2 linked regions of the Drosophila melanogaster genome follow. The gene in region 1 interacts genetically with each later gene. Each region holds a gene or a part of one and is shown on either strand. Other genes may lie near its edges.

What was found. Genes that interact genetically often act in the same process or in processes that back each other up.
Region 2: of ss (region 1) and Dll, changing one suppresses a phenotype caused by changing the other (phenotypic suppression), as found in Drosophila melanogaster (one study listed by BioGRID).

Annotation. Positions count from the first base shown.
Region 1 is NT_033777.3:16,399,727-16,406,524, forward strand, and holds the start of ss (spineless), read right to left. Parts: upstream 3,965-6,798; 5' UTR 3,692-3,964; exon of another isoform or gene 3,670-3,691; intron 2,619-3,669; 5' UTR 2,170-2,618; coding exon 2,114-2,169; intron 1-2,113.
Region 2 is NT_033778.4:24,811,915-24,818,509, reverse strand, and holds the start of Dll (Distal-less), read right to left. Parts: upstream 3,689-6,595; 5' UTR 3,074-3,688; coding exon 2,943-3,073; intron 917-2,942; coding exon 741-916; intron 1-740. UniProt on the Drosophila melanogaster protein: Transcription factor that plays a role in larval and adult appendage development. Specifies the identity of ventral appendages (including legs and antennae) and suppresses dorsal appendage development. Involved in patterning the distal-proximal limb axis.

The DNA.
Region 1 (6,798 bases):
AATGGCTTCCAATTAAACTGTGCACTGAAGTCGTAGCAAGAACGGAAGGAAAGTAAAATACCGCGAATTCCTAGATCAGCCAGATAATAAATTGCAGAGCAAATATTAAGGTCGATTGAAATGAAACAGGTATAAACATAGAGAGAATAAACATTGTAATAAATACTAATTAAAAATATTACTTTATTAAAACCCGAACCGAAATCAACCAAGTTGGCATACAAATATATTTATTTTGGAACTTCCTCCTACCTGGCACAAACTTTGTAGTGCTGAAATGCAATTGAATAGATAAGTTCCTAATAAAATAGCTGCACGCAAACAATGAACTTGGCCAAATGTGCAGTAAGTCTATGCGTCGTATGCGTAATATTCGCTAGGACCTAGGGGTGAGAAGCCCAATTCAAAGGGCAGCTGCTTCCCAGCACTTGGGAGCTCAATTAAATTGCACTAAAAAACGGAGCCGCTTGAAGCTAAGGCGAGCACATTTTGATCAGTTCATTAAAGGCATTAAAATATAAAAACTATGATCGAGGGGCAAATGCAACGCTCGGCGCAAAACCCTAAAAGAGTGAGGCTCTCGACCTGCCACTCGAATAATTGCAGGTGTGCATTGCAGCAGGGAGAGGCAAGGTGACAATTTTGCGTCAGTCGAGCGAGTCAGAGTCGGTGTCAGCTTTGAGCCAGGCCCACAACCAGGTCCACGGGGTGGCACTTCGAAGGCCCTGCTGTTTTTTTTTCTTCAGCCAACTGCAGTAAAGCGTAATTGTTTTTTTTTTTTGTCGTTTTTTGTTCTTTATCAGACTAGCAAGAACAGCGAATTACGCGACTGCCTGTCGATGGTGAAACGTATTAAGTTGAAGTTTTACGGCGTAGTCGGGAACTTTAATAAAAACGAAATTCAAGGAGAAGGGGAATTAAATTGCACACAAGGAACTTACTCTGAAGTGCACAACGCCTTGTACAAACAAATGTTTCAGTTTAAGTTGGTAAAGTTTTAATAGAAATAATATCATAATAACATATAAAGTTATTATTATCTATAAGGTCTATATCGAAATCTTTTAAAACATCTAATGTAAAATTTTAATACTAAAGCTAAGCGGTTAATAGTAAATATTCCCCGTAGAGTATCTTTGAAATGGAGCTATACTGTTAATAACTGGTTTACTAATCCGACTACAACTAAGTAGACGAACATTACACGCCATATTAGATGAGTTGGATAACCAATCTATCAACTGCGTGCTTATCCTAAATAGATCCTGGTTCTTCGCTTTTCCGAAGATAATCTACGCAGACCTGAGCTGCCCCGTTCTGCACCCTTTCAAGACTGAGGCGCTGAAGCTGATCAGTGGCTCTTGATTATGGGGGTCGCAACATTAGCGATCGGTGGTCTGCACTTGGCGAGGGGGCGTGGCCGGGCTGCAGTTGCCGCTCCTCGCCTTCTGCATATTTAGCAGTGCTGCTCATGATAATGCGTGAGTTCTCATATATTTATATTGAAAACATTATGCTTTGTGCGGTTGCAGCAGCTAAGTACACAAAATTATCAGAAATTATGTGCACCTTGGGACAGGCAGATTCCGATCTCCCCCAGCGAACAGCCGGAGGGGCCGCCGTCATCGTCATCATCATCAGCATGACCGTTCATCATCATCTCCATCAACTGTTTGGCTACTGTAATTTCACGGTAACCTGCCCCGACATGCATAATGCAAATCAATTTGAGGCTATCGGGCGGCAAAGGGGGAATTCACCGCCCTTCATTTCATCCGAGGGCCAAGTCAAAAGTCAATGGCGATGGCAATTTGTCAACAAAGTGGCCACCGGATCATTAATAATCGAATCTGGGGTATTCAAGACCAGTAGCTACGGAGATTGATGGATCGTCAGCGGGTGGCGCCACAAGGTGGCAAGCTGGTAAGTGGTAAGTGCAGCCAATCGCATTGATTGAAATCTTTCAGTAATAACAGAGCACCCAAGAACCCGCTCCACAAACATTCCGCCTCCCGCTGTGCATTTATATCTGAATCTGTATCCGTATCCGTATCTGTATCTTGGGATTCGGATCGGTATTGGTTTGTGGGATTGGACTGGGGCTTGGACTCACCTCTTGCCGTTGCGTCGCCTTCGCTTGGTGGCGTAGACGGTGCCCAGCTGGCTCATTGCTAGGGCGGAGTTCGTTATGGTCGCCGTCGTGAATGATTTTAACTCTTATTATTTTTCGTATCAATATTTCGTTGTTGTCTTCTGCTGCCTTCTGCTCGTCTGTCGTACAGGTTGTTTCCTCGTCGTGGCTTTCTTATTTCGCTTTTTTTCCTTTTGTAATTGGTTTTTATTTATTGATTTGGCTTGCTCTGGGTACACACTCTCACACACACGGACTCGCACACAGACACAGCCAGGAGCTGAGTGCGATCAGATCCGCTGAGATCCTGCTGCGGTTTTCGGTTTCGGAGTTGTAGCCACGCGTAAATTTCGTTTTTTTCTTCTTTGTATTTATTTTTAATTATCATCACGCTTACATTTTGTTTGCTTTTTCATTTCTCGCGCTCCTTTTGTTTTTGTTTTTTATTTTTTTGTGTATATTGCACTGTAGTTTCAGTTGGTTAGAGCTAAATGAGGGATTTAATGCGAAACTGTGATTCAGCAATTGAGAAAGGCTGGGAATTTTGATTTTTTTTTTCATTCGATTGTGGGTTGTATGATTTTCTAAGGCGATAACTTCGGTTCAACCTAATAGATTTTTTAAGTAATTAGTCCCGACGGAGAATGATTTCAGTTTATCTAAAATAAATCCAATTAGTTTAAGTTGGCAATGTCATGGAGCCGTTGTCTAATACGATTTGATTTTGCCTTGCATTGTAGAATAGTATAATATGATATTAAGGCTTTACTTTATTTTGAAAATTATATTTTGGTAAATTTTGAAAATATATTATTCATAAAAAGAATATATTTAAATTTGTTTCAATTTTTTCTCACAAAGGACTAAAAAAGTATAACAGATTATGTTAGCAAGTTATTAAACATCAGAGTCAACCAATAGTGTTGATTAATTTGAATGGCACATTCTAGTCAGAAAACTGTAAAAATCCCTCAATCCTTTTTCAATTGCTTTCAAAAACGAGTTGTTGTTTGTGTTGTTTTGTTTTGATTCGAGTGGCTGCGATTTGCAGGTTATTGTTTTGGTTCTTTCGTGGCAACACTTTTGCTTTTTCACTTGCACTTTTGCCGTTTGTGTTGGTAGTGTTGTTGCTCGTGGGCTCTGGTTTATCAATGGGCGATGTTTGCGATGACGACGCATGCAACAGAGGAAATCAAAATCGGCACGGAACCAAAAGCGCTAACGCAAGAACGGCACGCAAATCATTTTCATTTTGCGGCACGATCGACGTCGACGTAGGCAGATCCGCCGGCAGAGCAACCAGAGGCGAGTTGTCAAAGTGACATTTTTCAGGCACGCACACACACACGCGCGCGTGGGTGTGTTGGAATAGTAAAATAGATAGAAGTGAATGACCGCCGGCGGTCTGCAATTCGCACACGTGACTCCTCGAAGCCTTTACAGAACCTCCAGTTACAGGGTATCGCGTGCTGCGTTTCGCTTTTGTTTCTGTTTTCGCCTCTATTGTTGTTGTATTGCCTTATTCGGGGGACACTCACGCACACACAAACACGCACGCACCTTTTAGCGGGATTCTGGCGACGGCGAAACAACCGTTAGGAGGGAGCAGCGACTGCAACTGCACGCGAGCGCCAGAAGCGAGTGAATGAATGAACAACAGTGCCAAAAAAACGGACAAACGGGCATTTGAAACGAGGCACAAAGGCGATGGAGCGCGCTCTCTCACTCGCACTCGGCGCGGTGCTCTAAGTCGCTATCTCTCACTCGCACTCTTTCAAACGTGACTCTGCTGCGCTGCGGCCACGTAAACGCTTTGAGATTCCAACAAGAACTGAGCGGCGCCACGAAACGAATGGAAAAACCAGTCCTGGCGGAACACACTGGCCATGGAACACGCGGGCGGCGTGTTTGGGGCCACTTCCAGTCGTCCTGGCAACGAGCGATCGCCAAGCGACGCGGTCGCGTGGGAGTGAGACAGAGCGAACGATGTTCCACTACCAACCGTTCCAGCGTCGCCATACGTGCGACTGGAAGGGAGCGACCAACCAAGTCGGTCTTGGAAGTGCTGCAGCTATCTCGTTCGCACCCTGTAGTTTCGTTATAGGGGGCGTGTTCGCACACACATACTACACTGACAGCCTAGTAGCGCCGACTCTTTCCAGCGCACTACCAACTGGAAATAGAAATTCGGGGCACATCGCTCATCTCTTAATTAATTAGGCGGTAATTAAGAGCTATCAGTGTTATCGCTCAATGGCATCTATCCGCCATACTCTTCTCCTATTTCAAACTTATCTGAGCCGGATTTTACCTCGTTTTGCCACTGAAATGCAAATTTTATTTGGTGTGACCAAAACCATTAAGGCCATAAACATGAGCACTCACTTCGCGCTTATCGCGAATGATTTATTCACATGTGCCACCTGACAACCGCAAAAGAACAAGGAGAACGAAATGCACACCGCTGCCCTGCACAAAACCAGAAATCATATTCCTACACCTAGACGGGCAAAATGTCCGTGCCCAAGAACCCGATTGGACAGTGTACGAGGCCCCTTTATCCCATGGCCCATATGCTGCGTCCGTCTTTGACCGCATGTCACAGATGGCGATGGAGATGCACTCGTCAAAGGTACAGTTGGCACTCATAAAGAAGTTTTTAATAAGTAATTGTAATTAACTTTAATAACAATCTATACAAGCTATTCATTTTGTAATTAATATGATTACTGTGATTTACCAAATAATTTTATGTTTATTTTTAAAAGTTGGCGAAATGTTACGTTATGAACTTTTTCCTTTGAAAACGTGTTGCATACTTGGTGGCGCTGGAAAGCCACAATATTCGAGCCCTTTCAATCATGCAGCCCATTGTAGTTCATTTGTGTGGTTTCCTAATTTGATTACTTACGTCCACTCTAATAAAACATTATTATTGTTATCGAATGACCACTGTAGAATGCCTTCAATTTCGAAAAAGCATTTTTCTTTTATTGTGACGTCAGCCATGTACGAAATTGTTGGCACTGTATTTGTATTGCGTGCAACTATTCAATGCCAAGTCAGAAGGCTGAAGAAAACAATATTTCCTCAGCTAGAATCTCCAGCAGTCTGGTGTCTCACTCAAATCTCGCTGCGTAAACTAAGGACAACAGCAGCTCCGAAGACAGCAGGATCAGAAGAATCGGGAGAATCAGAAGAGGATCCACTCCGAAGAATGAGCAAAACAGAAGGCAGCGCATGTCAATCGGTGGCACTAATAAGTGAGCTGAGTCGAGTGGAGTGGAGTGAAGTGTAGCAAAGTGGAAGGGCTTGCAACCAGTTTTGGTGCGTTGCAACTTTTTCCAGCTTGCAGCTTATCAATTTACGCTTCCACTTCGTAAGAGAAGTGCACAGTGCAGGTGCTTATTCCACCTCCCTCTAAATATTCTTATTTTGCACTGCCTTTCCTCTTCTTGCATTATCGCTTTAAAGTACAGTCATCAATTGATCTTTAAAATTGAGGGCCAATATTATGACCTTACACCTAATACTGTAAAAAATAGCAAAATATATATAAGAACTGAATGGATTTTTTAAATGTGCTTAATAATTATTTTCTCATTATTAACTAAAAAAATACATACAAAATATACACAATCCCACTGTATATGATAAATATTTATTCTGGGGTTTCTTTGCTGACTGCTTGCTCGTCCGACAATTTCGCGATGACGTCGTTTCCCCGATGAGGACTTATGAATGTTTTTCGCCGGCATCCTTAATGCGACTTTCTACTCTGGACCCACACTTCGCAATCTACCCCTCGTTTTGCCTAATTTCGTAACAAGTTTCTTATTAACTTGTTTTTGCTCGCTGCCTTTGCTCAGCAGCTGCCTGGTCACATCAATGTCACTGCTGATCACATCTAGACAAGCACTCTATATGGATCTATATAATTTGCCAATTAAGTAGGGGATAACCCTCCCCGATATATCAGACCGACAACATTAGCGGGACACAAAAGCCGCAAAACGATAAAAAAAAAAGAACCGAACAGAAAAGATACAAATGTTTTTTTTTTGTGCAGCTCCGCTGCTAACCAGCCAAAGGGTCATATACAAAATTCCACAGAAAGAAGGGAAGACCATTATGCATTTCCCCATAATGTTTACTCCGATCCATTGGCGGCGCCAATTAAATATAATTATTCTGTGTACATAAACAACAGCGGTGAGCTTAAAACAAGGTAAAGCCATAAAGTATAAATGTAAACAAAGTGCAATCTGGGCATACCTTTTGATTAGAGTAACGCAGGGAGTATCAGACCACGGAGAGAAGGGAGAATGAAATTGAAGAGGTTTCCCCCTGTTCATTATGTCTTAGCAATTTCAAAAGTATAAGTATTCCCACAACTATATTCATAACTTTCTAAAAGTAAAAAATATCCCTTACAAACGAAAAGATCATCAAAAGTCTCTTGATATCTGAAATAAAGCTATCGAAGAAAATATCTTTATCATTTTTAAGATTCTTATGAGATGAGGATTAAAGCACGGTATTTACCAATTCGTTATATCTGAGCTTGTACCGCCAAAACAATCAGCTTCAACGGGATATAGAACAATGTTTACCTTTTTCGAAAAATGCAACTGACCAACCGTTTCTCCAACCCTTATACCCCCGCC
Region 2 (6,595 bases), on another chromosome or scaffold:
CACACAAAAAGTAGAGAGATGTAAAAATAAATAAAATGGGAAAATTGCACGTACGTGGATGAGCAACAAAGAGCTTCCAGAGGTCCCACAATTTCAATAGAATACGTTTCATGGGAAGGAAAAGTAACATAAATGTCAAAAAAAAAGACTTGCGTGCATTATATTTTACCTAAAACTTAACCTGGCATTTTCGATTTTAGTACGTGTACATTAAATTATTCGTATTAAAGAGCTTGTGTCAACTTAGATGTCTTTATAAATTAAGCAAGTTTCCAATGAAGCGTTCAATCTACATAGCCTTCTAACTTATTAGTGTGAAATAAAAAGACCTTTAAAGAACAACTTAGTGGAAGATCTACGAGAAAAGAAGTATTATAATGAGGCGTATAAACACAATGAAGTCTGATATCTTTATCTTCGATCTATAGCCGATTGAAATTGAAATTTGATAAAAGTGAAAAGCAGCGCAGTAGCAAGAGGACAGTGAAGGCAGCCTAATTGAGACGAGTCGAACTTGAAGTGAACGAGCAAACAAAGCCCGCAGAAGGCGACCACAATGGCTCTCGACGGCGTTGAGCTCTCGAGTTGAAGTGTCGCCAAAAAATAGACAGGGAAGCAACGAGCGAGATCTTTTCAAGATCTCTTTCTCAACAAAAGACCCGGATCTCTGGGAGAGTAGGTATGGGATTGGGACTGGGATTGGGCCTGAGACTGATCGGATAAGGAGGAGCAGTACTTACCATCCTTCGGTGGACTGGCGCAGGGCGGGGCGTAGCTGCCCAGATGGTAGCCGGAGTAGGAGTTCTGGTGCATTGGCGGGAACGGGTAGCCGAGGGCGCTGCGCGGACTGGGGAAGCCGGAATCCTGGCCGCCCTGCGGTCCGAAATGCTGATAGGTGCTCCGGATGCCGCCGTACCTGGAATGCCGCAAATGCACGGAAAATAATCAATACGGGGCTGTAATATAGCTGTGGCAGTTGTGGAAGAAGTAGTGGAAGTAATGGAAGTGGCGTACACCGGCTGTGAATGTGAATGAATCGTGCCGGGGACAAAACTTTTCCTACTTGCGTGTTTTGTCTACACTTTTCACTATTCACTATTAAATTCAAACGTCGCCGAGCATAGGACGAGCGTTCGGTCGGGAAAATATCTAAAAGTGGGCCCAAAATGTTTCATGTTTAATGCAAGAAGCGTCGAAACCAAAACTTTTTCTCTCACAACAAAAAATTAGGCTGGCGGAGAGGAAGGAAATTTTTGCCATGACTTCATTTACAAAAACCAGAACCGAAACCAAAAACAAAACCAAAACCTATCCAAAGCCCGAACTGGATGCGGCTTAATATATCAAAGAAAAATCAATACGAGTGTCAGAGTCGCTGTGTTTTAGTTTCGGTTTGGTCCGCAGTTCCGTTTGCAGTCCCGCTCGCTCGCGGTAAATATTTTGTTAACACTTTGCGGGCGAAACAGTTGAGCAAGTTCCCATGCATTATGTTCCGAGCGAACTGCATGAAATATTCAATGCTCTCCTGGCCCCTCAAACACGGAAACGGAAGCGGGCCGAAAGCAGCAGAAACCGCAACGGACAGCGGCCAACGGACAACGGAGAACGGACAACGGACAGCGGACAGCGAACAGCGAACAACATGGCAGCCACTCCGGGGACGGAGAAAAGTCGTGGCCAGGAACAACTCCCGAGGGCTGGTCGGCGCAGCCAAGCATTCCAAGTCCCGTCCCAGCCCAAGAGCCCAACACGCACAAATGACAGAGCAGTGGAAACCGCAAGGCTCAAAACCAAGAATGCAATAAAATATGTATAATGAAAAATCGAATCGTGCGTTGGGAAAACAATTTGCGGCTGCAAACAGTTCGCCGAGTGAGCGGTAACAGTAAACAGACCACCGAGCCCGACTTATTGCTACCCCATGAGGAACGTGTTGTTGGATAGGAACAGAACCCTCCGGATCAGACGCTTATTTAGAACACGGACCGGGAGTAAACTACACTTAATTGAATTTATTTTTGGCTTCCGCTGCCGGCCAGCCAGGCACCAGCATGAACTGTAAGCCGGAAAGTGCAGCTGAAGTGATTTTCTTAATCAAAACTAATAGTATAGCGAGACCCCAACGCGAAATCGATCCCGAAAATAGTATCATAAAGATGGAAAGCTGACGGCAACTTTCATCGATTCAGTCTTAGTCGATTTGGCTGAGGGCCTAGAGAAGGCTAAATGGCGAATTGGCAAATTGAAATTTAAAATTGTGATTTCGAATTTATACTACATTTGTTACTTTAGAAGTACATTTTTATGGAAGTCAAAATAATTTTTAACTTTGGATTACATTGACGAATTCATAAATCTACAATTGGTTGCTTTCATTTTTTAAGACAACTAATAATTATACAAGTTTTTTAATAGTAAAATTTATGTATCGATCGAAATAAGACTATTGGCTATTGTAATGTAATCAGTAATTAAGACCCTAAAAAGTTATATGAACTACTTAGACAATATACTCTTGAGTTAACCTGACTTTATTTAACTGCTTGCTTTTACCAACTGTTATTTATTATTAAAAATTGAATTTGTTTATTGTAATGTCAATGTACTATATTATCTATTTATGCAATTATGCAGCTTGTAGTCCTATGCCAACTAACTTTTTCCCTTGAAATGAATGAAATGATTTTAAAGACCAAATGGTTTTATGGTACGTATAGCGCTCTTTAGATTCATTAAAAAGATTCATATTCGAGTTTTGGGAACGCCCTGGCCACAAACTCCTTTTTTCTCGGGTGTGTCAACTGCTCCGCACAGATTGAGATTGAGTTCCGATAGGTTTGGTTTTGGCAGGGCTGAAGTCTGGAGGGGATCGAGTCTTTTCGCCGAAACACTTTCTGCAATCCTCCCGGTGACTCCACTCCACTGATCTTGGGGACACTCACCCGGCGGCGGCGTGCTGCTGCAGCTCCACGAAGGCGGACTTTCCCGGGATGTTAATGCCGGGCGTGACGCTGGCCGCCGTGTTCCCGCCGTCCATGTACTTGGGCGTGTGCGGGGCGTCGGGGGCGTCCATGCCCGACTGGGGGGTGCTGGGAGGCCCCTCGTAGGGGCTCCCTAGGTCCGTGAAATTGAGCGTGTTGGCGCCTATTGAGGCCACTTTATCAAGAATTTTGACGGCTGTTCAGGGGGATGCGCGCGGGAAGGAAGTTCTCAGAGATCCGATGGCAATGATCAGCTATACTTGCACAGTAGGAGTGTGTGGCTTGCGTATCTAAGGTTTTTGTAGGACACAATGTCTTGGCTTCAGTTCAGTTCGGCGACTTGATTTGGCGGAACTGTTGAGCGCGTAAATCCTTTCAGATGGCGAGGAGGCACTTTTCTCAGCACTGACACTCAACTTGTTAGCAACTCAACTCACTCGAAATTGCTTTCTTGTATCACTTCGATTTCTGGCTGTGCATATTCTTTGTAGATTTTCACGATTTTCAACTCCGTTTTGCGAATCAATCAAATCAATTCATATCAAATCAGATCAGATCAGATCACTACAAATCACTTTATAGTCCGCGACGGATCACTTAGCTCGACGCAGAAACGCAAGGCGCAAAACGCTACGACGGATCGACGACGGCAATTCAACGGCGAGAACAGCGGCGACGACTGCACACGAACAAAGTGCGTATACGACTAGGTGAGGTTTTCGCGGCGCGGTTGCGCGAGACTTCGACTCGCTGCGCTGTCGCTTTGCGGCCGTGCCGCTTTGCCGCTCTGTAGCAGTGGTGTGCGAGCGGCGCAGATGTCATCCATCGCCGTGCGTCGGAGCGGGACGGCTGCTGAGGCCCAAGCCGCTGGCAGTGACTCTCGCCGAGCGTCGCCAATCGGGTGGTTTGCAACCGGTTTTCTCGGTGGTGTCTCTGTATGGTGGTGCAGAAACCGCACCAATACTATAAATTTCCCCGTTCCGGGTGCACGGGGGTGGGGCTGGGCTCTGGGACCCCGTTTTTGTGCCGCTCAACTCGTCAACTTTGTCTAGGTCTAGGGCCCGCATCGAGATTGAGGCGTGGCCTGTCGCCCCGCGTCCCCACGGATTTGGGGAACTTACGGCGTGTATATGCAAATTCCAGGGGGAACTGCCCGTGGAAAGTGCAAATATTTTGACGTTTTAAATAATGTTGATTAAATGCAAAGGTCTCAATTATTAAATTGATTGTTGAACCTATAATTTGTCTTCTTATTTAGCCGCTGCTCCTTTCGGGTCTTATTTTCGGATCAATCGAAACTGTGGCACACGCATTTCCACGGGTAATCAACAGTTGCGGACAACAGACGAATTAACTTAATGATTTGTTTACGTTTTACAATCGGTGGGCTTGCTTGTAAGGAAAAAACGCTACGCACACAAACAACATAGCGTGGTATATATGACAGGTCTGCTATCATTTTCTAATGGAACCTTTAATTTGAAAATCCTTTCTAGGGAGTCTTAAAGCCTCCTTGGAGTTGGTACTTGTGGCGCCACCTAGTGGCCGCCTTTGGCAGCGACAAACCAGTCTATCGGGCCAACCTGCTCACCTGTCAAACACACACACACACACCCTCGCAGCCGCACTCGTACACACACATACTACCTGCGCACCCAGCACGCCCCCTGCTGAGAGCAGAAACTCCCTCGCCACGCCCCCTTGAGCGTTTCGAGAGAGGGCAGAGAGCTCGAGTAGGCCCAATTCAAAATGGCGTCCTTTCGGCCACATAATGTCGCTTTGTGGCTAGGGCCAAGCGACACGGACCGTTTGCTCGAGCGGACTTTTTCATTCACAAGACAAAGTCACCGAGCGGAGAGAACAGCGGAATTTCCACCTTTGTCCGCCTAGCCTAACTGGCAGTTGAAGCGGCGGCAAAGCGGTCTCCATTCCACCCCTTTCCCCTCTCCCAACAGCAGGCAGTTGTCACCTGAGAAGGATTTCCGCTGAAAGTGGGAAAATATGCATATGCATGAGTCGGAGCGGCGCTATTAACCAGAACCAGAGTGCCACAAAAATCGAATTAAGTTTGTTTATAAAAGTAAATATAAATCGAGCATCCAGCGGTAATTGAGCGCCTGATCCGACTGAAATGCTAATCCCCTCGTCCGGATTGGATCGGATCGGATCGGCTGTGGAGCCCGCCGTTCCGAGTTATGACCTGGTCGGCTGCGCTGCACTAATTTAAGGTAGCACTGCAAATGCACGTAATTGTTGCAATTACTTAATGAAATATTTATTAAATGCAAATTATGATTAGCCCGGGCTAGCCACTGCACTGCAGCTACTGTTCCTTTTCCCAGTGAGGCGCCTGGGCTGCGCTGTTTGTGCTTGACTAGGCCAATGGTAATACGGGTACCCCTCTTGGGCCGCGATTAATTGGCCATAGATCAAAATCAAATTACAGCCACACGAGACACGTGCAAATATGTCAAGCGAACACGTTTGCAAGTCAATCAGTCAGGCGAATTAATTTATCAACTGTCGCAGATGAGCTTGCGACATCGATAAATCAGTAGATATAGGACATCTGATCTATAAGTTGACTTGGAAGAGTATTATTCAAAACCCGAACACCATTAGTGCTGATTACTTACAAAATATTATAACGTCAGTTTTGAAATTTAACGATCCAAACAAACAGAAGTTTTGTATTAGTATGGATTTATTAAAATAATTTCCACAACCCCTCTTATTAGGAACATTCAAATAGATTAAGGTAATGAACAATTATCTCGCCAACATTCCTATTGACCTAGTCCGCTGGCCTCTCGGCCTTTCTTAGCCATTATGTCAGGGATTAACATAATGCCACTGTATTGCATGGAAGGTCATAAGTGAACAGGAAGAGAGGAATGCCCTTAAGCTTTTCCCATTCTGATATCTCACTTGGCCGAGAAATCACTTCCCGAAGCAAGGCAAATACGGAAGCCAAATCGATTTTATTACCAAACAACATTAATTCCCAAATTAAAGCCAAGAGCGGGCATTTGGACAAATGAGACGATTAATTTTCGGCCAAGAAAACCCAAGAAGAGCCGCTCAAAGGAAATCAACGGAAAACTGAAAACGAACAGCCAGAACGCCCACTACAGTACAGTGGTACAGTGGTAAAGTAACTGGGAATCGGGGAAGGAATCGAAGGGGAAAGCGCACGGAAACACCCACGAAACTCCAGGCCGCGACCAAAGTTCCCGTCCGAATACAATTTATCATTTAAATAATAATGTGCCACAAATGACGGGACGAGTGAACGTGAACGTGAACCCTTGTGCGAGCGAAAGGGCATAAATCAATCCGACTCGGGCCAGAAAGAGATGGCGACCTGGTCTAGCTTCTGGGGGTTGCTGCCGAGCAGTTGGCCAATTCAATGAAATGGAAACTGCCTCGGACTCCGACTCCGAGCCACATTTGATGGCCTGCTCACTTGACCGTCGCCGATGCAGCCAAACGGCCAAATGAAATGCGAGGCAAGGCGCTCAAATTACATTTTAATGAGTCAAGTTGGGTTGGCGTTGGGGTTGAAGACTTGGTTTGGGTTTGGGTTCCCGGCTAGCAAAAATCAAACTGCAGAC